3 linked regions of the Struthio camelus genome follow. The main gene of each other region encodes a partner of the protein of the gene in region 3 in a complex. Links are inferred from orthologs where the notes say so. Each region holds a gene or a part of one and is shown on either strand. Other genes may lie near its edges.

What was found.
Region 1: SF3A1 (region 3) and SF3A2 share a complex: the UniProt entries of both Homo sapiens proteins name them as parts of the SF3A subcomplex of the 17S U2 SnRNP complex. The link is inferred for Struthio camelus from reciprocal best matches to the Homo sapiens genes SF3A1 and SF3A2.
Region 2: the proteins of SF3A1 (region 3) and SF3A3 are in contact, whole or in part, in an NMR structure (PDB 2DT7), measured with the Homo sapiens proteins. The link is inferred for Struthio camelus from reciprocal best matches to the Homo sapiens genes SF3A1 and SF3A3. Residues at the interface, in NP_005868.1 of Homo sapiens: Ala161, Phe162, Asp165, Val166, Leu169, Thr170, Phe173, Asn177, Phe181, Gln184, Leu185, Lys188, Phe195; in NP_006793.1 of Homo sapiens: Glu80, Phe81, Glu83, Phe84, Tyr85, Arg87, Leu88, Ile91, Lys92, His95.

Annotation. Positions count from the first base shown.
Region 1 is NC_090967.1:3,446,970-3,454,550, reverse strand, and holds the start of SF3A2 (splicing factor 3A subunit 2), read right to left. Parts: upstream 3,066-7,581; 5' UTR 2,960-3,065; intron 2,951-2,959; exon of another isoform or gene 2,899-2,950; intron 2,845-2,898; exon of another isoform or gene 2,404-2,844; intron 2,169-2,403; 5' UTR 2,124-2,168; coding exon 1,998-2,123; intron 1,510-1,997; coding exon 1,438-1,509; intron 1,095-1,437; coding exon 1,048-1,094; intron 724-1,047; coding exon 614-723; intron 1-613. Other genes in the region: PLEKHJ1 (pleckstrin homology domain-containing family J member 1), read left to right, coding at 3,180-3,273, 4,526-4,593, 6,602-6,668. UniProt on the Homo sapiens protein: Component of the 17S U2 SnRNP complex of the spliceosome, a large ribonucleoprotein complex that removes introns from transcribed pre-mRNAs.
Region 2 is NC_090964.1:11,168,527-11,176,053, reverse strand, and holds the start of SF3A3 (splicing factor 3A subunit 3), read left to right. Parts: upstream 1-4,521; 5' UTR 4,522-4,585; coding exon 4,586-4,681; intron 4,682-5,358; coding exon 5,359-5,406; intron 5,407-5,575; coding exon 5,576-5,628; intron 5,629-6,141; coding exon 6,142-6,247; intron 6,248-7,119; coding exon 7,120-7,192; intron 7,193-7,527. UniProt on the Homo sapiens protein: Component of the 17S U2 SnRNP complex of the spliceosome, a large ribonucleoprotein complex that removes introns from transcribed pre-mRNAs.
Region 3 is NC_090958.1:4,787,878-4,794,990, reverse strand, and holds the start of SF3A1 (splicing factor 3A subunit 1), read right to left. Parts: upstream 3,004-7,113; 5' UTR 2,804-3,003; coding exon 2,738-2,803; intron 290-2,737; coding exon 177-289; intron 1-176. Other genes in the region: CCDC157 (coiled-coil domain-containing protein 157), read left to right, coding at 4,368-4,615, 5,533-5,707, 6,457-7,113. UniProt on the Homo sapiens protein: Component of the 17S U2 SnRNP complex of the spliceosome, a large ribonucleoprotein complex that removes introns from transcribed pre-mRNAs.

The sequences.
Region 1 (7,581 bases), on a different chromosome or scaffold from region 3:
GAGAACTCAGCACCACGCCTAACAGGGCCAGAGCAACATTATTTCTGCCCTACAAAATACACAAAGCTCCATGCAACAAAACATTGTGAGATTTTTTTCATTTACCAAATGCTACACTGTCTTTAACCAAAGCTACTATGGGTCACTACTGAAATTCAGCTGCTGTGGGACAAAGACACTGACACACTGTGCATTGCAAACAAAGATGGGAGACAGACTGAAGGCTAAAGCAAAACAATGGGGAGCTGAGGGGAAAAAATTGAGCTATACACCCAATGAGTGATTCGTGAGCATCACTGAAAGATGGTACAGCACAATAAAAAGGGGAGGAGAGACTGAAGCAATGTCATCATCTTCCGTCTCACTGTTATAATAAGAGCTGAAAGACTGAGACACAGCAATCTCTTATTAAAAAGATCCTCACTCAACTGTCAGCTCTAAAGAGATGTTCCATGGGTAATTTAAACAATCAAGGACATCAGGAGATAAGTCCATATCTTATTCATGGCCAGATCTGCTAAAAAGACTAATTAATAATTCATACACACAGCACAGCACTTCAAGCAAGCTCACCAAGCATTAAGTATATGCCACGACAGACACCCCGACATACCTTTATAACCTGGTCGTCCAATTTTCACAAATTTCTTCACTTCCACTTTGACTTTTTCTGGTGCAGGCTGGGCAGGAGCTTCCTTAGCTTCCTTGGCAGCTCGACGGGCCCTGAAATCATGCGGGAGGGGTGCTTAGACCTACTCCTGATATAAACAGACTTACGCAGTTTGCTTTTAAAGCTCTTTCTCCCCCTTCCTTCAGAAATTCCACAACCGGCTTTGAACTTCAGCTTGAAACGAAGCTTGTTGGCACCATTGTTTGGAGCAGATCTAGTCCATACCTGCTCACCAGTGCCAGGCTGTTCACTTCAAAAGTGAAAGGATATTCAAGCACAGTGTCCCGCTACATAATTCAAGATTTATAGATGAACGCAATCATACTTCTGGAGTGCCTAAGTAATGGAGAATAAAGCTACAGTGGAGAATGACTTACAAATTGGTCTGATGCTTTTTCCCCTGGGTATGCGCTAAGTAACTTCCCTGAAATGAAAGCAAGATAGAAGAAAGTTAAATGAAGACAGGACTGTTTTTAAACTGGAAGATAATTGTCATAGACGAGAAGCTATGTTACATGTTGACAGGTAAAAAACGCTCTAAACCACAAGGATATTTTAACCCCTTTACCAGAGAGGAATCTTACTCAAAAATTGCAGATTGCTCACAACTGCTGAGCTGTCACGAACTGTCGTGCTTTAACACACACAAACCACTCCTCACTCACCATCTCCTCAGTAATCAGTCATTACATATGCCTCAGATTGTTGCATTTGAAGTTAATATTATTCCAAAATATTTCTTTGCATGGAGATTAAGATAGACTCACCTCATTGTTGTGTAGCGTTAGGCAAAGCTTGCATTCATAAGAACCCAAGTGATTTTTCATAAAATAAGGGTCCTAGGAAGAGAATTTTTAAAGTCACAAGCAAAATTCATGGCAAAACAATAGAGTAATCAAAACACATAATGCAGATTTTTTCCTGCCCTGGACGAACTGAGTTCTTGGGTTTCAATTATTAGCATAACATTATTTTAGGAATATAAAAGCAGAGACAAACAACACTAATTTTGTTAAGCGGTAACAGCAGACCCAAATGCTGTGAAGAAACAGCAAAATATGAACCAGTCCTGAGAAGCCCAAGAATAACGCAATGGCAGCTATTTGAATGCACAAGTTTTGGCCTCTCTCTGTTCAGCCCTTTCACAAATGTTTCTCCTGCATTAAAAGAAACAGAAGTATTTCATTCAAATCTACAACTCTCCACCAAATCTCTCATCTTCCAAACTGTTTCATCCAGGCAGCAGAGCTCTGAACTTAGCCACAGTTTGTAGGACTGAAGTGACATGTCCTTTCCTTCCTAAATACACAGACTGGTCAATGCTCACCTTGTTGATGTCAATCGTTTCCAAAGCTAGCTGCCGAAGTCTCTCCCTGCGGTCTCGGTTACTTTCTGAAGCGGAGGCTACGCCTCCGCTTCCAGTTTTACCTCCAGGACGATGCTGAAAATCCATGATGGGGACTTCTCTACTTCAACTAGTTCAGAAGAACGAAAAAGTCTGGAAAAATGAAGGAAAGCAACATGGGTGATAATTAATGCCTTTCCTAACCTAGACGTCATTCTCCTATTTAGACCCACCAGTAAGAAAAGGAGATGGGCACAGTAAAAGCGTTCGCTAAGAGCTCGCTACAGAACACAATTTCAAAGTCAGTAGGTCTTGGGGCGCTGACTCAACAAGCTGCGTGTTGAGTAGAACCAAAACGATCTAAACCCTAAATAACCCGCCCAGAGACCTTCCAACCTCCTCAACGCCTTCTTCAGCAAAAAGGAGAGACGGATTCCTCCCCCAAGCATTCAGCTGGGCTCCAGCAAGGCCCTACAGCTCCCCTAGCAACACACGAGCCCCACTAGGTGCCCCCAATCCCTCCATCTCGATAACGAACAGCCCCAGAGCCCCATCAAGGGTCCAAGGCTGAGTTGCCCCACGCCCCCGCCACACACGCACCAGCACAGCCGCAGAGCCTCCTCCGCTGAGCCCCCAAACCCTCGGCGGAGGCCAGGGCCACCCGCCGGCCCCAACCCCTCAGCAAGGCCCCGGCCTCAGCAGCCCCAGGAAGGCCCCAGAGCCGCCCCCCCCCCCCCGCGCCCTGAGCAGGGGTCACAGGCCCCTCGCGCTCGCCCCGGCCCCGCAGCAAAGGTCACAGCTCCACACGCGAATCCCCCACCCCCCGAGCAGCCCTCAAAGTCCCCCTTTCCCCCCCCCCCCAGCCCCTCAGCACGGGTCTGACCCCCAGGACGGGCCACCCCTCCCTCCGAGCACCCCCCCCCCCCCCGCGGCCCGGCCCGTACCGGCCCGCGCCCCGCGCCCTGCTCCGCGCACGCGCACGCGCACCGCCCCCCCCCTCTTCCCGCGGCGCGCGACTTCCGGCGCGGCGCGAGCGGTTCCGGGCCGGGCGGGAGCGGTTCCGGGCGGGAGCGGTTCCGGGCGGGAGCGGTTCCGGGCCGGGGCCGGGGCCGAGGGGAGCCGGGGCCGCCCGGCGGCGGCGGCCGAGGGCGGCGGGGCCTCGCCATGCGCTACAACGAGCGGGAGCTGCTCTCGCTGGCCCGGCAGCCCGCCGAGAAGGCGGCCGAGATCCTGATGCGGGTGCCCAAGAAGGGGAGCGGTGAGGGGGGCCCGGCGGGCGGGGACAGCGGGCCGGGGAGGACTGGGGGAAGGGGCAAGGGCCGCACTGGGAGTACTGGGGGGAAGGGACAAGGGCCGCACTGGGAGTACTGGGGGGAAGGGGCAAGGGCCGCACTGGGAGTGCTGGGGGGAAGGGGCAAGGGCCGCACTGGGAGTACTGGGGGGAAGGGGCAAGGGCCGCACTGGGAGTGCTGGGGGGAAGGGACAAGGGCCGCACTGGGAGTGCTGGTGGGGAAGGGACAAGGGCCGCACTGGGAGTGCTGGTGGGGAAGGGACAAGGGCCGGACTGGGAGTGCTGGGGAGAAGGGACAAGGGCCAGACTGGGAGTACTGGGGGGAAAGGGCAAGGGCCAGACTGGGAGTACTGGGGGGCTGGACTGGAGGTAGAGCGGGGGTATAAGGCTGGGGAACAGGAATGAAGATCTTGGGCTTGGACTGGGGGTGCAGCATCGGGGCAGGACTGGGTGCTGGACTGGAGGGGCTCGGGCTGGGGTGGAGGTACTGTGGCAGGACGAGGAGGCTGGACTGGACGTGCTGGGGCAGAGTGTGGCTGGCAGAGGCCGTGAAAGTGGGACTGGGTGATAGGAGAACTGGAGGGATATGCAGATGGAGAGATGTGGAGGGATTTAAGGGAAGCAGGAGGCATCAGGGTGGAAAGTAGATACGTTCCTTTCTCTCTCCCAACGCTTTGAGTGTGTCTGTCAAAATAAGAGGCTCTTTGCTGAAATACTGCTGCAATATTCCTTGCTGTTAAATGTTAAATCAATGCTGTTGCCCAGAGCTTTTTGTCTTCCTGAGGACCTGCAGGGACCTGACAGGCTTTATCCTCAAGAAGTGACTTTTGTGCTGATAGTTCCAGGCAGGGTCTCTCCCTGGATTTGAGATGCCACATGCAGGAGGCTGTATCACGTATATAGCTGACACCGTACTTTGGGATCGGTCCAGCCAGAAGGTGTTAGAGAAATCTGCGACACTTCTGTTGTCATCTTTTTGCAGCCCACTGGGATAAATCGAGACGGTGCATTTCCTGAGTGGGCCAAGCATGATTTAGTATTGGATGCTCCTGCGGCAAAGGTTTAAATTAAAATGGAGCTTCCCCCTAGACTTGGTTGAATCAGCGTGTTGCTGGGTGCTAGCAAAGATGGAATGTGCTTCCCTTTTCCTTTCCGTTGCCAGCTGGCTCACACGCTTCATCCCACAGACTTGCCACCTGAATGCTCTTTTTCTTTGCAGTGTTAAAGAAACGCCTTGTGAAGCTTGTTGTCAACTTTCTCTTCTACTTCCGGACAGATGAAGCGGAGGTATGGAATCTGCTTTTTTCTCTGTGAATTGACTTTATGTACTTTGTAAATTGGTACAGTAACAGGCTGCCCTAGCCAGAACAGTGAGCCCACATTTGCTCTTCTATCAAAACAGTAAAAGCTCCTATGGGTGAGAAGAAATCACTGCCATCTAACCACATCCAGATACTGTTTGCATGCATCTGGAATGAGTCTTTTAAACATAACCATTGCCCAAAACTGCAAAAGATGGAATCTGTAATGTTTAGTTGTAGGGCTGCAGCTTTTCGTGTTAAACTGTGAGCGGAAGTTTATATTATGCTCTCCTGGGAAAAGAATTAGCATTGTTTCTTCTCTTCTACACCAGGAATATTGCTTACATACAGTGCTCACTGTTCCTGAGAAACTTGCATGGTTATGCTCTGTTAATATTATTATTTTTGGCATTCGGAGGCCCTGTTTAGGTCTAGAAAAGTAGAATGAGGGATAAGACATCTGGCTTCAGTTTCTGGCTTTGCCACTGCTGAGATATTATGGTTTTTAAGTGAATTCCTTAATAACTGTTGCTAAAGAGTCTCTAGTTGAAAAATGAGTATAAAAGAAATCTTTTTAGCGTGTGTGAAGAAACACGCTGTGTGCATGCTGGCAAGAGGTATGTGGCATTTTTAGACTGTGTCCATTACAAAATTTAACCCTGATAATGGTTATGCTCTTATTTTAAGATATTTCTTTTCTCCTGCCTACTGAACTGCAGTCACTAATCACTTTTCCACTGAAGCTGCAATCACAATACTCTAGGTATGGCCAAAAGCTGAGCAGTCATTCTTGTATGTGTGTATGTAGACATGCAGACAGATGTAAAGATTCGTCTGTAACTCCCACGTGAGCGTTCTGTTATGAGAGTCGGAGGATACTCCTTACAGCCTGTCTCCTTTACTGCAACCTAAAGCTAGTTTTGCTGTTTTCTGTTCTGACAATTATTATTTTTAAGCATTTTTGTGGGTTTTGATGGAAGGCAGAGGATGTTATTGAATGGATCAAAAGTAATTTGGCAGGTGATTAGTGCTAAAGTAAAACTGTCATGCCAGAAATACATATTTTAAACAGATTTTTCGGTATCTTCTTTGCTGCTTTATTTGTCTCTTCCGTTTTGTTTAGGTTGGACAAAAGAATTCACTTGTGGTTTGCTTTTGTTTATGGCTTCTATCACTCCTTGGTTCTCATGTCCTTGCTCAGCGTGCACTGGGTGGCAAATAGTACCTGCCGTTTGTCTGTTTATCCTGAACTGTTCTAGTTCATCAACACACTGTTCTTAGCCTCTTGCAAAGCTTTGAGCCTGCCCTTACAAAGTTAAATGTGGAATTTTGTTAGTCTTTCTCTGTGCCCTCTGAAATATTTCATCTTAATTTGATCTGTTGAGCTAGAGAGTAAACTCTGTCACTGTCTGTGCATCACAGAAGTGCATGCTAACCCCCAGACTGAATCTGAGGAAGTAGAAACAGAGAGTTAAAAATAAGACTAGTAAAATGAAGCATGTCAGCAGACACAAATCGGTTGCTTAGAAGAACACTGAACGTTCCTTTAATTGTAGACTAAATTACCTTAAAAGCCGCATCAAGTTTTGAAACTTAAAAGTCAGTAGCAAAATTCTGTGGGTTCAGAACTATGTGAGCAAAGCATATGTATACATGTATATCTCGCATGTTTCAAGCTGTCTTCACAGTTTGTTGAGCAAATCTTTTTTTTTCCGCAAAGGAATGAGGCTGTGAGTATGCACGTTTATTCCAGCATCAGCTGAAGGTCAGGAACTTGCTACACTGGCATAACTTGTTTGGTTTTGATTTTCTGTTTTTTACTGCAGTTAGTGCAGAATATGCAAAGATCTCCTGGAAATACAGTTCCTCTGATAGGTTTCCCCTATAACCCCTCCTGGGTTAAAATGAATCTGGTCACTCTCCCCTAGTGATCCATGCCTGTAGCACTGGCTGGACAACATGTGTTTAAACCCTCTCTCCTGGTCTTTTTCTAGCCCATCGGAGCTCTGCTGCTGGAGCACTGCAGAATCACCAAAGAGGAGGAGAACGTCTTCTCAATCAGTGAGTTCTGCATATAGATGCCGTTTGTGTTTCCCTTATGCAATTAAAAATACTATATAAAAGAAAATGTTTTGCTACTTAGTTCCCGCTTTTCCCTGTGTTTCTCTGGTTACACTGGGCCTAGTGTTCCTCAGCCCCTCTCTTTGTCAGCTGCCAGTTGTTACTGTGATGTTGCCATTCCCGAGACGGTGGTATTTCATTGCTGGCTGAAATCGTCAGTGTGTGTGATTTGCACAGCTGCCTGTGAGGAAAGAAGCTGTAAAAACACACTGGCTATGGCTTAGTGCTTGTGGAAATCCCTCTCTAGGAGGGTTTGGTATTGACAGATTGCTGCTTCTGTGCTATTACATTTTTATCAAAAAAAGTGAGCCTCAGATAAACCATCTGTCAGACTAATCTAGCACCAGTCCTCCCGCCACACTGTTTGTCCTTGTGTTGATAGCCATGACTCCAGCTGGCTCATGGTGTGTCGTCCTTTGTAAGCAGCCTTTCATCCAACAACTAATCATTGTGCAAGAGGTATGTGGCAAAAATAACAGGATGTTTCTCCAAGGCCATCCCCATATCTTTTGGCCTGGCTGTCAGGCACAGCTGCTTTTCTGTGCAGAGCCTTGTCTTCTCTTCCAGCCGGGAGGGACCACGTTCTCACTGTCTCCAAAGGATCCTGGAGACAGCCTGAACATACCAACCTGTCTAGGCACCACGCTTGGAATTACCAGGGCTTTAGGACTGTCAAAAGCCCTAGTGAATGAGGTTTCCTGAGAAAAGTGTTAAAAGCGATCGCATTTGGAGTCGGGTTGCGTCCCCATACGGGAGCCCTGAGGTGTATGATGCAGTCTGACCCAGTTACTTCTCAGCAGCAGCCTAGATTTCTGTGAATTGTGTAATACAGTGCAGATCTTTGGGAACAACG
Region 2 (7,527 bases), on a different chromosome or scaffold from region 3:
CTGGAGCACGGTCAGAAGAATATCATGCATCATGCCAGATGGGAACCACTCCCCATTTCTCTAGCCACCTCACCCTTTGTGGGCCCAGGCCCTTTGCTCTGCGTGTCTCCACGGAATTGCTCTCACTCAGATGTGGAAAAGGACCTCAAACCGCCAGTGAGTATGGAGCACTCTAGCCCTGCCACCTTTCTGGCCCATTCCCATCCTCCTGCCTGTGCTGCAACCTCCCCACGGCTGCCTCTGTTCTGTTCAGCCCTGAAGCTGCCTTGTAGCTGTTTGCACATGTGGCCGTGTTTGCAGCTACCCGAGCTAGAGCTGGTGATGCTGCCTGAGATACTTCTAGCGAAACAGCGGAGCAGGGTGTTTTGGAGGCTGTTAGAGCACTGAGGGTTTTTATTCCTGCTCGTTCCCTCTCATGGGGAACTGCAGAATAGGGACTGCCTTACCGAGGCCAGCCGGCAGTGACACAAAGATCACCAAAGACATTTCATTAGTTCTGGAGTTGTCTGCAGGCTGCTGCTGTGCTTGGTGGCCGCTGGGGCGGATGGAGGGAGGAAGGCAGGAGCTCCGTGGCGCAGCGAGCCCCCGAAGGTCGGCCGGGGCGTCCCCCCGCCCTGCTCCTGCTGGGGCTGAGCGTTCCTGCCCGGCACAGGGAGAGGCTCCCTGGCCACGCTCCTCCCGAATGAGAGGCAAAGCAAGGGTGGCAGCTGGGCTCCCCTGGGGAGAAGCTTTGCAGCTCCCAAGTCCCTGCTGTGGCCCTAACTGCAAAATAGCACACAGGCTGCTGAACCCTCCCGGTCCCACACAAGGGCTTGTGCTGTCCTTGCCCCACAGCTGAGCCGGCCCCGGGCCCCCACGGCCCCTTTGGGTGCTCATGCCTGCCTTGCCTCTGTCCCCCTTGCTCTAGCGTGCTTGGGGCGCTTGTGCCAACCCTGCTTTCCTGTTTAGACAGCCGCAGGCTTTTCTGAATGCATCTCTTGTGGGTTTTTTTCTCCTTTTGTACTCTCTTGTCGTGAATATCTGTCATTTTGTAACCAAAGCGCAGGATGAAGGGGCTAGCCCCCGTCACAGGATTCACTTACGAACGGAGAACGTTATGCATGTTAGAGTTATTAATTCTGTATTCAGATCCTCATTGAACCCTCGTTTGAAAGCTTTGATGCAGGCAAATCAGAGTTTGTGTGTTCACTATTCTAAGGAGCTTGGAGCAGTCTCTAGAAGGAAGTGTCCTAGACCTCACCTCCTGTATGTTTCCTAAGGCTTTATATAATAAACTGTTTTAGTGACACTTGCTTTCACGTGTTTCTTGAGCAGCAGGCGCAGGGCGGCGGGCTGCCCGAAGGGGTCTGCGCTCAGCCTTGTCCTCCAAAAGCAGAGGTGGTCTGTGGCTCCCTGCAGGTATCTCCCCTAGCTCCACCGTGGGGACAGGCCGGGGTCCTGGCAAGTCCCTTCCCCATCCTCACGCCCCGGCTGCGCCACGCTGCATCGCAGCCCAGGAGCGGCAGCTCCCGCCGCATCCGCAGCGATGGCCCGGGGCAGCCGGCCTGGGTCACCGCGCCGCTCAGCCACGTCCGGCGGCAGAAGCGTGCCCCCCGTGCCCCCGGCCCGCGTGCCACCTCTCGGGAGGAGGCTCGGGCGGATGCTGCCGTCGTCCGCAGCCGGGGTGGCAGCGGGCTCCCTTCGCTGCAGCGCTGCGTGCTCGTTGCTCGGGATGTCAGCTGGGGACCCGTTTATTCCCCTAGCATCTGAAACTATTTTCCGCAGATTCCTTTACGTTTACTAACAGCAGCCACGACTTCCTCTGGGCCGGCCTGCTCGGCCCCAGCCCCGGCCCCCCTCGGCGCGGAGGCGTCGCTCCCGCAGGAGCCGCTGCCGCCGGCTCCGCGCAGGCCGCCGCGAGCTCGTGCCAGACCGCGGCGCTGCCTCTGGGCGTGCAGGCTCCTGGCTCCTTCAAAGGCTCCCGCAAACGTTGGCGCCGGCAGCTAAAGGGTTTTTCCCAGTACGATTCTGCTGCCGTTGCTGCCCTCGACCTGCGCTGGGCTCTGCTTTTGCTGCCGCTGGGCCCCAAGCGATGAGCAGGCAGCTCTGGCCCGGGAGGTTTCCAGCGGCGTCTGTCCTCCAGCAGCAGCACCACAAACCCTTGTTTCTGCAGCGCTGTTTCCAGGGATTAACCACAAAAGGTTTCTGTACAAAGGGCCCCCAGGCTCCTCTTTCAGTCAGCCTCAAGAGCCTCACGTTTTTAGCCAAAAAAGGAAATGACCCAGCTGCACGTAGCGCTGGAACATCTGGATTTTATCCCTGTCATGAATGGGTCATGGATATGCACGGCCCGGTGCCTGGCTTGCAGGAAGGGGAGGCTGATGTCATGCACAAACGTCCCCTGAGACTCCCGGAGCGCGGGTCGGAGCAGTCATGAAAATATCGTTAAGGGCAGGCTAACGGTGGGGCGGGGGCGGCGGGGGCTGCTGCCCCCTCCCCGGCGCTTCCCACCGGGGCGCCGCTGCCGGGAGGGAGCGGGTTTGTGCCGGTTCGGCAGGCCGCTCTGCCCGGACAGGGAAAGCCGCGTCCCGGAGCAGGACGTCGCCCCGGCCCGTCCCAGGCCAGACGCTCGTGCAGCGGCTGCTCCCCCGGCCGCGACCCTCCTGGCGCCGCCAGCCCCGGTGCACGGGGCACCGCCAGATTGCACCCCCTTACTGCTCCTGGGGTGAAGTTTCATGCAACGGGAAGTGGAGGAACGTTAAGTTCAGGATCTTATCTCTGCTTTTATTTTTAGACAGGCATTCACGAGGAAAAAATGACGTACTGAGAGGCAGCCTCTAGTGCGGGACCATAATTAAAGACAATATTCTTACTTTTAGTATCATCCTCTCCTTGGTGAATTGGCTGTTCCCAGGGCAGAATCATCTTTGTCTGCCGTAATTATGCCCAATTTTCTTTTTTTGTTGCTTTCGGCTTAAAGTAATGTAGTCTGCATGGTAAAAAAAGATGAATAATTTATTTGTGAGTTAAAATTTAATTACAGCTTTGTATTTGGCAAAGTGGGGGCAAAGCACTGGCACGAGCTCTCCTCGGCACTACGGTTGGATGTGAAGAAGGCGATTGAAACCGAAGGAGAGTGGAAGGACGCAGGCACGGCTCCCGCGGGAGGGTCCCCCCGGCAGGTCGCTCGGGCGCAGGCTGCTGGGCCGCCGGTTCTGGTGCGCGGCCCACGTGGTCTTTGCGTTCAGCAGCAACGGCCAGCCGAGGTCCGCGTTCGCCAGGTGCCGGGCTGCAGCTGGGACGCCGGGGCAGTGCGGGCTGCACGCTGCACCGCAGCTCTTCTTCCTTCCAGGCCCCAGGCCGGGCCGGCGGTCCGCCAGGGCGTCGCGGGGCCGGGGCCGGGCCGGGCCCCGCGCGGGCGCTGCGGCTCTTCCCGGGCTGCCAGGGTCCAGGCCACGGGGGCTGCGCTGCTGGGCCGGCGCTGACGGCCGCGCGCTGGCCGAGCCGGCGTCCCCGCACCTCGCCGGCGTCCCCGCACCTCGCCGGCGTCCCCGCACCTCGCCGGCCCAGCCCTCGTCTCAAGCCCAATGTTACGAGACGAGACGCGGCTGCTTCCCCGCGCGACTCCTCCCGTCCCCGTCCCCGTCCCCGTCCCCGTCCCCCCCTCGCCTCGCTTCCAAGGAAGGTGGCCGCAGTGCGGAGGCCGGGCCAGCCCCGACCCGAGGCCGACGGCAGTGCGGGGCAGCGCGCGGCACCGGAGGGTCGGTGCTGCCCAGCTCCCCCCGGCCGCAGCCAGCGCTGCCCTGGCGCCGGCGAACTGCGGGGTGCAACGGAGCGGGGAGCCCAGGCGGGAGGCGAGGGCCTGGCGGGGCCTGCACGCCTCCCCCTCCGGCTGGGCCCGGCCGGCTCAGCCCCCCGCCTCGGCCGCCAGCGGGGCCGCGGATGTCGGGGGCGGCAGGGATGTGGGGGGCGGCAGGGACGTGGGGGGCGGCGGGGCTGTGCGAGGCCTCGGGGCTGTGGGGGGCGGCGGGGCTGTGCGAGGCCTCAGGGCTGTGGGGGGCGGCGGGGATGTGGGGGGCGGCAGGGACGTGGGGGGCGGCGGGGATGTGCGAGGCCTCGGGGCTGTGGGGGGCGGTGGGGATGTGGGGGACGGCAGGGACGTGGGGGGCGGCGGGGACGTGGGGGGCGGCGGGGCTGTGGGGGGCGGCGGGGACGTGGGGGGCGGCGGGGATGTGCGAGGCCTCGGGGATGTGGGGGGCGGCGGGGCTGTGCGAGGCCTCGGGGCTGTGGGGGGCGGCGGCGGCGGCGGCGGCAGGACTCGGTCGCCCCCGGGCGGGGCCGGTCGCGGCTCTGCGCGGCGGCGGGAGCTGAGAGGCGGCTCGGCCGCGGGCCTCGGCGGCGGCGCTGCGGCGGGCGCCTTCTGCCGGCCCGGCCCGGCCCTGCCGCCGCCCTGAGCCCGCCCGGCCCCGGCCGCGCCCGCCGCCGCCCCGGAACCTTCGCGCCGGCGGAACCTTGGTGGCGGGCGCGGGCCGGGCCGGAGCGCCCCCGCCGGGCGCGGGCCGGGCCGGAAGGGGGCAGCGGCGGCTTCCGGTCGGTGCGCGGGAGGATGGAGACGATCCTGGAGCAGCAGCGGCGCTACCACGAGGAGCGCGAGCGGCTCATGGACGTCATGGTGAAGGAGATGCTCACCAAGAAGTCCACGGTGCGCCCGCGGGGCCGCGCCCGCCGCCGGATCGGGGCCGGGGGCCTGGGGCCGGGCCGGGCCAGGGAGCGGAGGCCGGGGCCGGGGCCGGCGGGCAGAGGCCGGGGGGCCGGGGGGCAGAGGCCGGGGGGCCGGCGGGCAGAGGCCGGGGCCGGGGGGCAGAGGCCGGGGGGCCGGCGGGCAGAGGCCGGGGGGCCGGGGGGCAGAGGCCGGGGGGCCGGCGGGCAGAGGCCGGGGGGCCGGGGGGCAGAGGCCGGGGGGCCGGCGGGCAGAGGCCGGGGGGCCGGCGGGCAGAGGCCGGGGCCGGGGGGCAGAGGCCGGGGGGCCGGGGGGCAGAGGCCGGGGGGCCGGCGGGCAGAGGCCGGGGGGCCGGCGGGCAGAGGCCGGGGGGCCGGCGGGCAGAGGCCGGGGGGCCGGGGGGCAGAGGCCGGGGGGCCGGCGGGCAGAGGCCGGGGGGCCGGCGGGCAGAGGCCGGGGCTGGGGGGCAGAGGCCGGGGGGCCGGCGGGCAGAGGCCGGGGCCGGGGCTGGGGCTGGGGCCGGGGCCGGGGCTGGGGCTGGGGCTGGGGGGAGAGGCCGGGGCCGTGGCTGGGGCCGGGGTCGAGGGGCAGGGGGGCAGAGGCCAGGGCCGGGGCCAGGCCAGGCCTGGTCCGCACTAACCGTGCTCCTCTGCGCGCAGCTCCGTGACCAGATCAACTCCGACCACCGGACGCGGGCCATGCAGGACGTGAGTGCCAGAACCGGGGCGGGGCTGGGCTGCTGCTGGCGCTCTGAGCCCCCTGGAGCGACGTGGGAATGGGCCGCTGCCTGTCATTGCCAGAGCAGCCAGGAAACAGTGGGTCTGGGTGGCTATTAACGTTCCCCTGTGGCATTTTGGGCTTTGTTGTGTTTTTCAGAGGTATATGGAAGTGAGCGGCAACCTGAGGGACCTGTATGATGACAAGGACGGGTAAGGGCTTGTACAGACACTTCTTCTGGTACTGCATCTGCCTCAATGTCTGCTGGATGCGTTTTACCTAGGAACCTGGAGGGGCTTTTAAGTGTATTTTAAATATTCAGGAAATAATGCTGGTATTTGAGAACATTGATCAGGTTTTGGAGACTAAACCTGGCAGTGCCTAGAGCAGCGCCCAGATTTCATGCCGAATATCTTCATGTGGAACAATATACATGTTTTGTCACTTTCCTGGTTTAAGTCACTGGGGGAGGCCCTTGAGCCACTTTGAACCTTGCTAAGTGGAGACTACTGCATTTTCAATAGGAGACATGACCTGCAGTCTTAAAGTATAAGCCTGTGAAATGCATGTATAACTGTCTGAGGCCACCAAACATCTCCTGCTATGCAGTCAGTCTTACTGGAACATTGTGTAACTGAAATGCAGTACTAAACACGAAGAAAGACTATATTGGCACAAACACGTTACAGACTTCCCTGTTGTAATCTTTTTTTATGAACTTATAGCTTACGAAAAGAAGAACTCAGTGCCATCTCAGGACCAAATGAATTTGCAGAATTCTACAACAGACTAAAACAGATTAAAGAATTTCATCGGAAGCACCCAAATGAGGTAAATAATCATCTACTTCATAAGAACAGGTGACTTGTGGTCTGCTGGGCTTCATCCCTACAATAAGCAGAATTTGTTTTGTTCAATTTAGTTACCTTAATACATAATTTACAACAAAGTAAGGTTTAGTGACAAGTACTAAAATGTCACTTGGGAAAAGAAAACATCTAAAGGTAGATGGTGCTTCAGAGGCTGTATGTAAGCTATGAGCGCTGCGACAATAGGAAAAAATGCAAGATGCTAACCGTGTTCTCTGGGTGCTGTGTATTAGTTTAGGAACACTCTGCTGCTGAGCTGGCATTCAGTCTCGTCTTTCTCATGCTGCCTAACGTCAGATTAAAGGGTAGTGTCTTTTCTTCTTTGCAAAAGTAATGGTGAGGAAATGCTGGCCTGCGCTGATGAGTTCAGGACCTCTCTTCTGCACTCAGAATTAGTTTGGATAAATGTGGGAAAGGCAAAGGAATTTCTCTGCCGTCACATTGTAAAGTTGTTTGCTGTTCTGTCCCTCCAGTCTCTGCACTGAACTGCAGACACCTCAGATGTTGGCTTTTCTGCCCTCAGTAGCAAGGAGAGTCACCCTCTGCTATTTAAAATCTCAGATATACTGCACGTATATGTGCAGGCAGGGTTGCTGAGTGGTATGAGTAAACATTATCCAAGGGGAACCAAGTACCCAGAATCAGTAGGGAGCTGGAGTTTTTGGTTTTGTTTTCCTCTATTGTATGGGGAACTAGGATTTGGAACAAGATTTTCATAGACTGTGCGCTGGATGCCTTTTCAGTTATGAGGTTTGCTACTGTGATTTCATATTGACCGTCCTGGGACATTAGCTGAAGTAATCTTTTATCTGAAACTTCTGTCTGTTTTTGAAGATCTGTGTTCCAATGTCAGTGGAGTTTGAGGAGCTGCTGAAGGCCAGAGACAACCCAAGTGAAGAGGCGCAAAGTAAGTCTGTAGTTTTATTCTGAGGCTAATTTAAGTAAAAAAGTTATGCTTACTTGAGAGGAGTTATTTAATGAACTATAGGGTCTGTCTTGCATGTTTTAGAATTCTACTTTCCTTTTACTAAATTACTTCAGAGAATTGTTCTTATTTCATTTAATTCCTTCTGAACTGGAGCCACCCTGGAAGGTTCCACAGTAGCGCTGCTTCTCTTGGGGAATGTTCTAGTATATTTACGTAGAGAAGCAGCCAGGTATCTCATCACTGAGGATGCCTCTTGCATCATAGACATCTTGTTTAAGCATAAATTAATCCACAGTTAATCCTTTTCAAATTCT
Region 3 (7,113 bases):
ACTAAAATGGAGCACTGGTAAGTAAGCTCCCTTTTTACCTGCAATTCTCTTTCCCTTCATGTCAAGTCATAGGATAGCGACTGCTCCAGTTTCTAGATCCACAGAGACAGGAGCACTGGAGGTAGAGAGGCATGGAAAACCCTGAAAACACGGGACACAACACTAGCATCATTTACCTGGCTACGAAGCTGGCAGTCTTGTCAACAATATTCCTGACCTCTGGAGGAGGGTAAATAATTCCTACCACAGGCTTGGCTGGTGCTGCTTCCTCTTTTGGCTCCTCTTCTGGCTGCAAGAAAGATATAGATAGATATATATAATTTCCTACAGTCCTCTGTACTGCTGCCTTGTAACTAAAACAGTCCTGTCAGCCACTTCATCATTCATAAGATGGTTATAGGATAGTACAGGAAGAGATCTTTCATTGCAGAGTTTGCAATCAGTATGTCAAGATACTAAGCTGTAATAACCTAAATCAAAGCTGATAAGATAAAGAAATTCAAATAATATTTGAACAACAGGCTATCCACCAGCATCAGGGTGTGAAAGCACGTTCTGACAGGCTGCAAACTGAGACTGGGTTTATCCTGAATCGGTTAGCTCGAAAAATGAATTTCCCTTCTCTCTCTGCTTCCTTATCTGTATTGGAAATAACAATCCTAGCATACCTTTACAAAAGGCTTAATGAACGCTGTATCAGAACCAAGTATTCTAACCAGCAACCCAAACGCTTGACAGAACTGTCTATTCTGTACCCCAGCCCCCAAATCATTTTACTATTCTGATGCAAAAGTCTTATCCTTTCTGCTCTAACTGGTTTAACAATCTCAATCAACAGCCCATTCCTGGCTTCCCAGGGTGAGAAGATAATATTTGTCTGCTTGTCAAGGGCATTTACTGCAGAGGCTGACATAGCAAGGCAATAAAAAGGAAGGCCGCTCCATGGGAACCATAAATAAGTCTTTCCAGCATTTTTAGTATTTCAGCCTTGACCCTGAGTAGGTTATAAACACTGTGGCAAGAGGCAGTGGAAGAGACCGCCTGTAAGAACACATGCGGGAATAATTTAGCATTGCTAAATAGGTTTGGAAGTTATGAACACTCCCAGCAGCTTGTGGAACTACAAAAAGCTAGAACCTGAATGATTACATCTAGATTAAAAAAAAATCCCATAGATCTTAATCATATTGAGGTTGCATCAGAAGCTTCTTTTCATAGAGGCTAAACTCAGCAAGGTATTTTCCTCACAGATATTACAGTAGGCTCTAAACTAAAAATCACAGAACTCTTCCCAAGAATAGTTTTATCTTTCAGTAAGATAAGAAGCTGTTCTTTGCAGGATAGGAAAGATATCTCCCCTCTTGTCTTAGCAAGTAATTTTCACAAAAAACACCATTATAAAAGACAGGAGATACATGAGAAGTGTTTGTAATCTTAAAAGTGAGGGTCAGGGGAGTTTTAAAACACCGCTATGCTGCTACTAGTTTTGCTGATTCTGTGTCAGAAGTTGGTGATTCCAAGTCAGAAGACGGATTCGTGCAAAATACAACTTTAACAAAGTATTCTGTAAGGAAAAAGGCATCATAAACCTTTCTACTTTTCACTCCCATTCCCTGAGAACCAGAACATCAGAGGACCAGAAGGAGAAGGCAATACCACGCTTGAGGGACATTTTTATTTGAATACCATGCTGAGTCACCTTGTTAATTTACATCTATGAAAGTGACAGGGTATTTATCGGGAGCTACAGCTTTCCTCCTAACTGCACTTGCTACACCAAATCACCTAAGCAGCGATATTCCAGGAGCAGCTGCATTGTAGCCTTAGCCAACATCAGTCCAGGCTGCTGCACTTCTACCCTGTGCACTAACCCTACAGCTTTAACGGCCATAAAACAGGCCAGTTCAACATACTCGTTCAAATTAACCTTACCAGGAGCAGGAGACAGATTTTCAGTTAGATCAGCTCCTTACCCTATCTTACTGCATGGCTGCACTAATGCTAACGCTAGCGTGGGGAACACCAAGAACGCACAACCAGGATGGCAGCTAAAGCTACGCTAGAACCATATGTCACCAACATATGATTTTGGCTTTTACAGAAGGCCAAAAAAGGCTCCTGAGGAGGTGAACATGACCGAGACAGAACAAGCAAGAATATGTGAAGGCCCTAGAAGAACATGAGAGACTGAGTCCCCTAAGTCCCTCTAGGACAGGTTTCTTGAGTCTTTTCCAAGCTTTTGCACATCCCTCCCAAGGGCAGGGCTGCTTCCACAGTTAACAGCAAACATTCACCTCCATCACAATCACAATCCTCTGCAGCTTCCACGAAAGGATCCGTACTTACCCGGAAGTGAACTATTTGCCCCACCCAGCTAGCGCAGACGTATAGGGAACCGCGGGTGAGTCCTATGGGCGCAGCAAAAAATAACAGGATGGAAATGTAGCCGCCCCAAAACCAAGAGAAATGGGTTAAACCCAGAAGCCACCGGCCAAAATAAACCCAACGAGCCCGGATCGCTAAAACGCAACAGGAAGCACTGAACAAAACGCTGCCTCTGCATCCAAAATATACACCCATAAAAAGCAGAGCGAGCCCCCGCACCCCCAGCTCAACGCCAGGAGAGCCGGAGCGCCCCTCCGCCTCAGCTGCCGACGGACTCCAGGGGCTCCGGGCGCGGCCTGCGGCCCCTCCGGGCGCAGCGGGCCGGGCCGCCCCGCTCCCGCGCGGCCCGTACCGGCTTGCCCTCCGCGGGCGGCGCTGGCTGCGCCGGAGGCATCGCTTGCACGGGCCCGGCCGGCATGGTGATCCCTCGGGGCGACGGGGGCCGCTTCCCCGCCGGAGCCGCTCCTCGTCCGCCGCTGCCCGGAACCCCGCAGCACCCTCACCACCACGGCCGAAATGGCGGCCGGCCCCTCCGAGCTGCGCACGCGCGCCGGGTGTGACGCACGCTGCGCGCGAAGGCGAAGCGCGGGCGCACGCGCGGCTCGAGGAGTACGGGTCGCCCGGGGGCGGGGGCCGACGAAGGAGCAGGGCGCATGCGCCGGGGACAGTGCCATTAACGGGCCACAAGAGGGGGAGGAGCGTTCCATTGCGGGGGCCGGGGGCAGTGGGCCGTGCCTCGGGGGCGTGGCCTGGCGCGGTTGCCGTGGCGGCGGGCGCGCCGCGGGGCGTGGCCTGGCACGGTTGCCGTGGCAGCGGGCTCACCGCGGGGCGTGGCCTGGCGCGGTTGCCGTGGCAGCGGGCTCACCGCGGGGCGTGGCCTGGCGCGGTTGCCGTGGCAGCGGGTCGCGCCGCGGGGCCGGGGCCGGGACTGGGGTCGGGGTCGGAGCGGCGCGGCGCGGCGGCAGGTGGGTGCGTGTCCCCCCCACGGGCACCTCCGCGCCGCCTCGGCACATCCCCCCGGGGACCCCCGCGCCCCCGGGGCCCTCCCGCAGACTGCCGTCCTCCCCGGGACCCGCCGCTGGCTCCCCCCGGCGCGCCGCCAAGGCCCCACCGCGTGGCCCTGCCGGCACAGACCCCCACGGCCCGGCGGCGCACAGCGCGCGGAGTCCGTTCTGGCACACACGGTCCGTCCCGGCCCATAGGCTCCATCCTGGCACGTATGATCAGTCCCGGTGCGTGGGGTCCATCCCGGTGCGTGGGGTCCGTCCTGGCACACAGGGTCCGTCCTGGTACATGAGGTCCATCCCAGTGTGTGGGGTCCGTCCCGGTGCGTGGGGTCCGTCCTGGTGCGTGGGGTCCGTCCTGGCGTACAGGGTCCATCCTGGTGCATGAGGTCCATCCCAGTGCGTGGGGTCCGTCCTGACGCACAGGGTCCGTCCTGGTGCACGGGCTCCATCCCGCTGCGTGAGGTCCATCCCAATGCATGAGGTCCATCCCGGTGCATGGGGTCCATCCTGGCGCACAGGGTCCGTCCTGGTGCATGAGGTCCATCCCAGTGTGTGGGGTCCATCCCGGCGCACAGGTTCCATCCTGGCGCACAGGGTCCATCCCAGTGCAGGGGGTCCATCCTGGCGTGCAGGGTCTGTCCCAGTGTGTGGGGTCTGTCCCAGCGCACAGGCTCCATCGCGGCGCGTGGGGTCCATCCTGGTGCATGGGGTCCATTCCAGTGCACAGGTCCATCCTGCCGCCTAGGGTCTGACCTGGCACGTAGGATCTGACCTGGTGCCACATGTGTGTCCCTACCCTGGGCTGGCCTCAGCTCAGCCTCGGTCCCGCAGAGCTCCCGCCTGCAGCCCGGCAGCCGGCCGGCCTCCGCAGCCTTTCCCCATCGGACCAGGAGCTCATCGGACGCAGCACAGCGGCGGGGCGGCCCGTGGGCTGAGTCAGGCTGGAGCTGCGGAGCCTCATCCTGCCACCCCGGCATGGCGCACCTCCTGGGCAGCCCCACCTGCATGGACAGCCTGAGGGCTGACATCACGGACCTGCAAGGAGCCATCGCCGACGTCTTCTCCCGGGCTGGGGCTGTTCGCTACCCTTCCTGGAAGTTCCCCGATAAAGTATCCTGCGAGCTGGACCTGGTGGAGCTGCTGGAGCACTACGACTACGTGGAGAACGACCTCGAGTTCACCCAGCATTCCCACGTGGTGCTGCTGGAGCTGGTAATCGACAGGTGAGAAGAGAAAACGAGCCCAAACCATCCCCTACTCCTTTTAAAAGAAGGCTGGTTGGTCCAGTGGCTCCTTCCCTTTGGAAGGAAGGCAACATTTCTGCATCCAACCTGTCAAACGTGTCCACGTAGCTGCATTTCTGCTTGGAGACAGGTGCTGGCACACCTGCAGTTGGAAGGGTGGGATTTGTGCTCCAGAGCCCAGCCCACCTGCGCTGAGTGTTAAAACCCAAGTCCTTTCCCTTGCCCGGGTGGGATCAGAGCTACCGGGAAGGCACTCTGGGCCCTGATGCCATCATTATGATCAACATTGGGGTCTGTGGATCAGTTGGGACTCTCAAAGGCCTTTAACCTTTTAGAAAGTTATTAAGCAATGGTTGTTGTGTGGTCCCTGGCTTGGTGCCCCTCTCATTAAATAGCCCCCCAAAACCCTGGGAACGCTCGAACCCAATCGCAGCTCTACCTGGGAGAGCCTGGGAGGCAAAAGTGCCCTTTGCGACCTGGGTTAAGTAAAATAATACTCAATTTTAAAGACAAGCTGCTCATGCAGAGCTGCTTCTGGATATTTGGCCTTGATGTTGGCAGCCTTAGTGCCCCAAATCTCCTGGAATTGGCTGACTGCACCAAGAGTACGTCCCCCTTGAGTAACCCCCTGCAAGCAGAGTGCACGGTCTGCATCTTTGCGGCTGCCTGAGGATTTTAATCCCACCAAACGTTGCTCCATTGAGCGATTCAGGACAGAGGAGGGGAGCTGCGTGGGGGCTGATATCCAGCCTCCTTGGACCAACTCAGACTGTGCAGGGAATGGGGAGGGAGGAGAACCTCTGCCTCAGCCCTGGCCCTGCACTGTTAAATGCCAAGGGCCCTCTCCCTGTTCCAAATACTCTGTTGCGCTAAGCTGTGTTTCGTTTCTGTCGAAGAAGGCTGCTCCTGCTGCTTCAGAGCTTCACAGGCTATGCAGAAAACCTGCTCAGCGACAAAGCCATCCCCCCAGCGCAGGCAGTGGGGCCCTGCATGTCGGCGGGGCTGACGGTGCGGAAGTACTGGAACAGCATGCTGAAACTGGGAGCCCTCTACAAGCAGCTCCTGACTGAGGTGGGACATATGGGGGCCCTCAATTGCCATGAGCCGAGAGCAAGGCTCACAGAAATACCCCTTGCCTCAATCCCCCCTGGTTCAGAAGCTGCCTCAGGCCTGCATGCAGCATCGTGCTAAGGTCACAGTCCTCTGGGATGCCACCTGATGTGTGGTGGTGCAGGGGTGACAGAGCAGGAGGGAGCCCTGCCCTGGCAGGTGGCATGGTCTCATAACAGGTCTTCTGGCTTAACCTTGAGACAGTGCACGGAGGCGTGAAGGAAGGGACAGTAACCAGCGCAGGAGCTGGGAAGCAAATTTCATGGCAGACGCCTTCCACTGTGAAACCACAGCCTCCACCTGGCTAAGGTATCAGTGGCTGAAAAGCTACCCAGCAGCTTTTAAAATTCAGTTCCCTGGCTTCCTCCCTCAGGGAGTACCCAGGATCTGCGTGAACAAATTGATCTTTTGTTCATTAGCCATTTGTCTTGGTTGTAATATATGGATATGTAAGATATTTAAGATATGGAGCACAATAAATAGGAACCCCCAACTGCTTGGTAACGTTGTTCTTCCCCCAAGCTCCTGGAACTTCTCTCCTTCCAAGAGAAGGCCTCACTGCCCTCGTAGCCATTTGGCTGCGCTCTCACTGATGTCCCATTCCCACATTTAACACCTTTGCATTCAGGCTGATCTGGATCATTTGCAGCTGTCTTGGTTGCACTGTTCAATCTGGGCCCTATGTTTTTCTTCTGTGCTCTCTCCCCCAGAAGATGACTTGCACAAAAGACATCTCCACACTGAAATCTACCCCTGAGGGTGTGAAAACTGAGAAGGAGCATTTGAAGAGCTGTTCACCTGCTGTTTCGGAGTTAACCTCATCCATAGATATTGCCCAGTCAACCTCTTTGTGCCTGCTGCAGAGTGTCAGCGTGCCAGACTGTGACACCTCTGGCAACTCGCTTCCCAGGTCTACATGCAGCCGCAGCATCCCCACACAGACAACTGAGTCATCTCTGGTACCCTGTGACTCATGTGCTAGTGCACAAGCCAGCCTCCGGGAGGTCAGCAAAGCCATCACCGGCATCTGCCAGAGTCAGAACATCCCCTCGGCTCTGAGCAGATTCCACGAGACATTGGAGGAGACCATGGGTAGAAGGACCCTCTCTGCAATGGACATGAGTTACTGGGCCTCAGAACAAAGCAAGGACCTCTCCCGGATCAGCAAACATCTCCACATGCTGCTGCAGCTGATAAACCCTCTGAAGTCAAAGCTGGAAGAATCAGAGAAACAGAAGGATGAGCTGCAGAAGCAGGTTGAGGAATTTGCCAAATTGCTTCAGGAAGAGAAGAAAACCCAAGAACAGCAGAGGAAGGAGGCTGAGCAGACCCTGGAAGTAAAGAAGAAAGAGTATTTGGAGACTGTA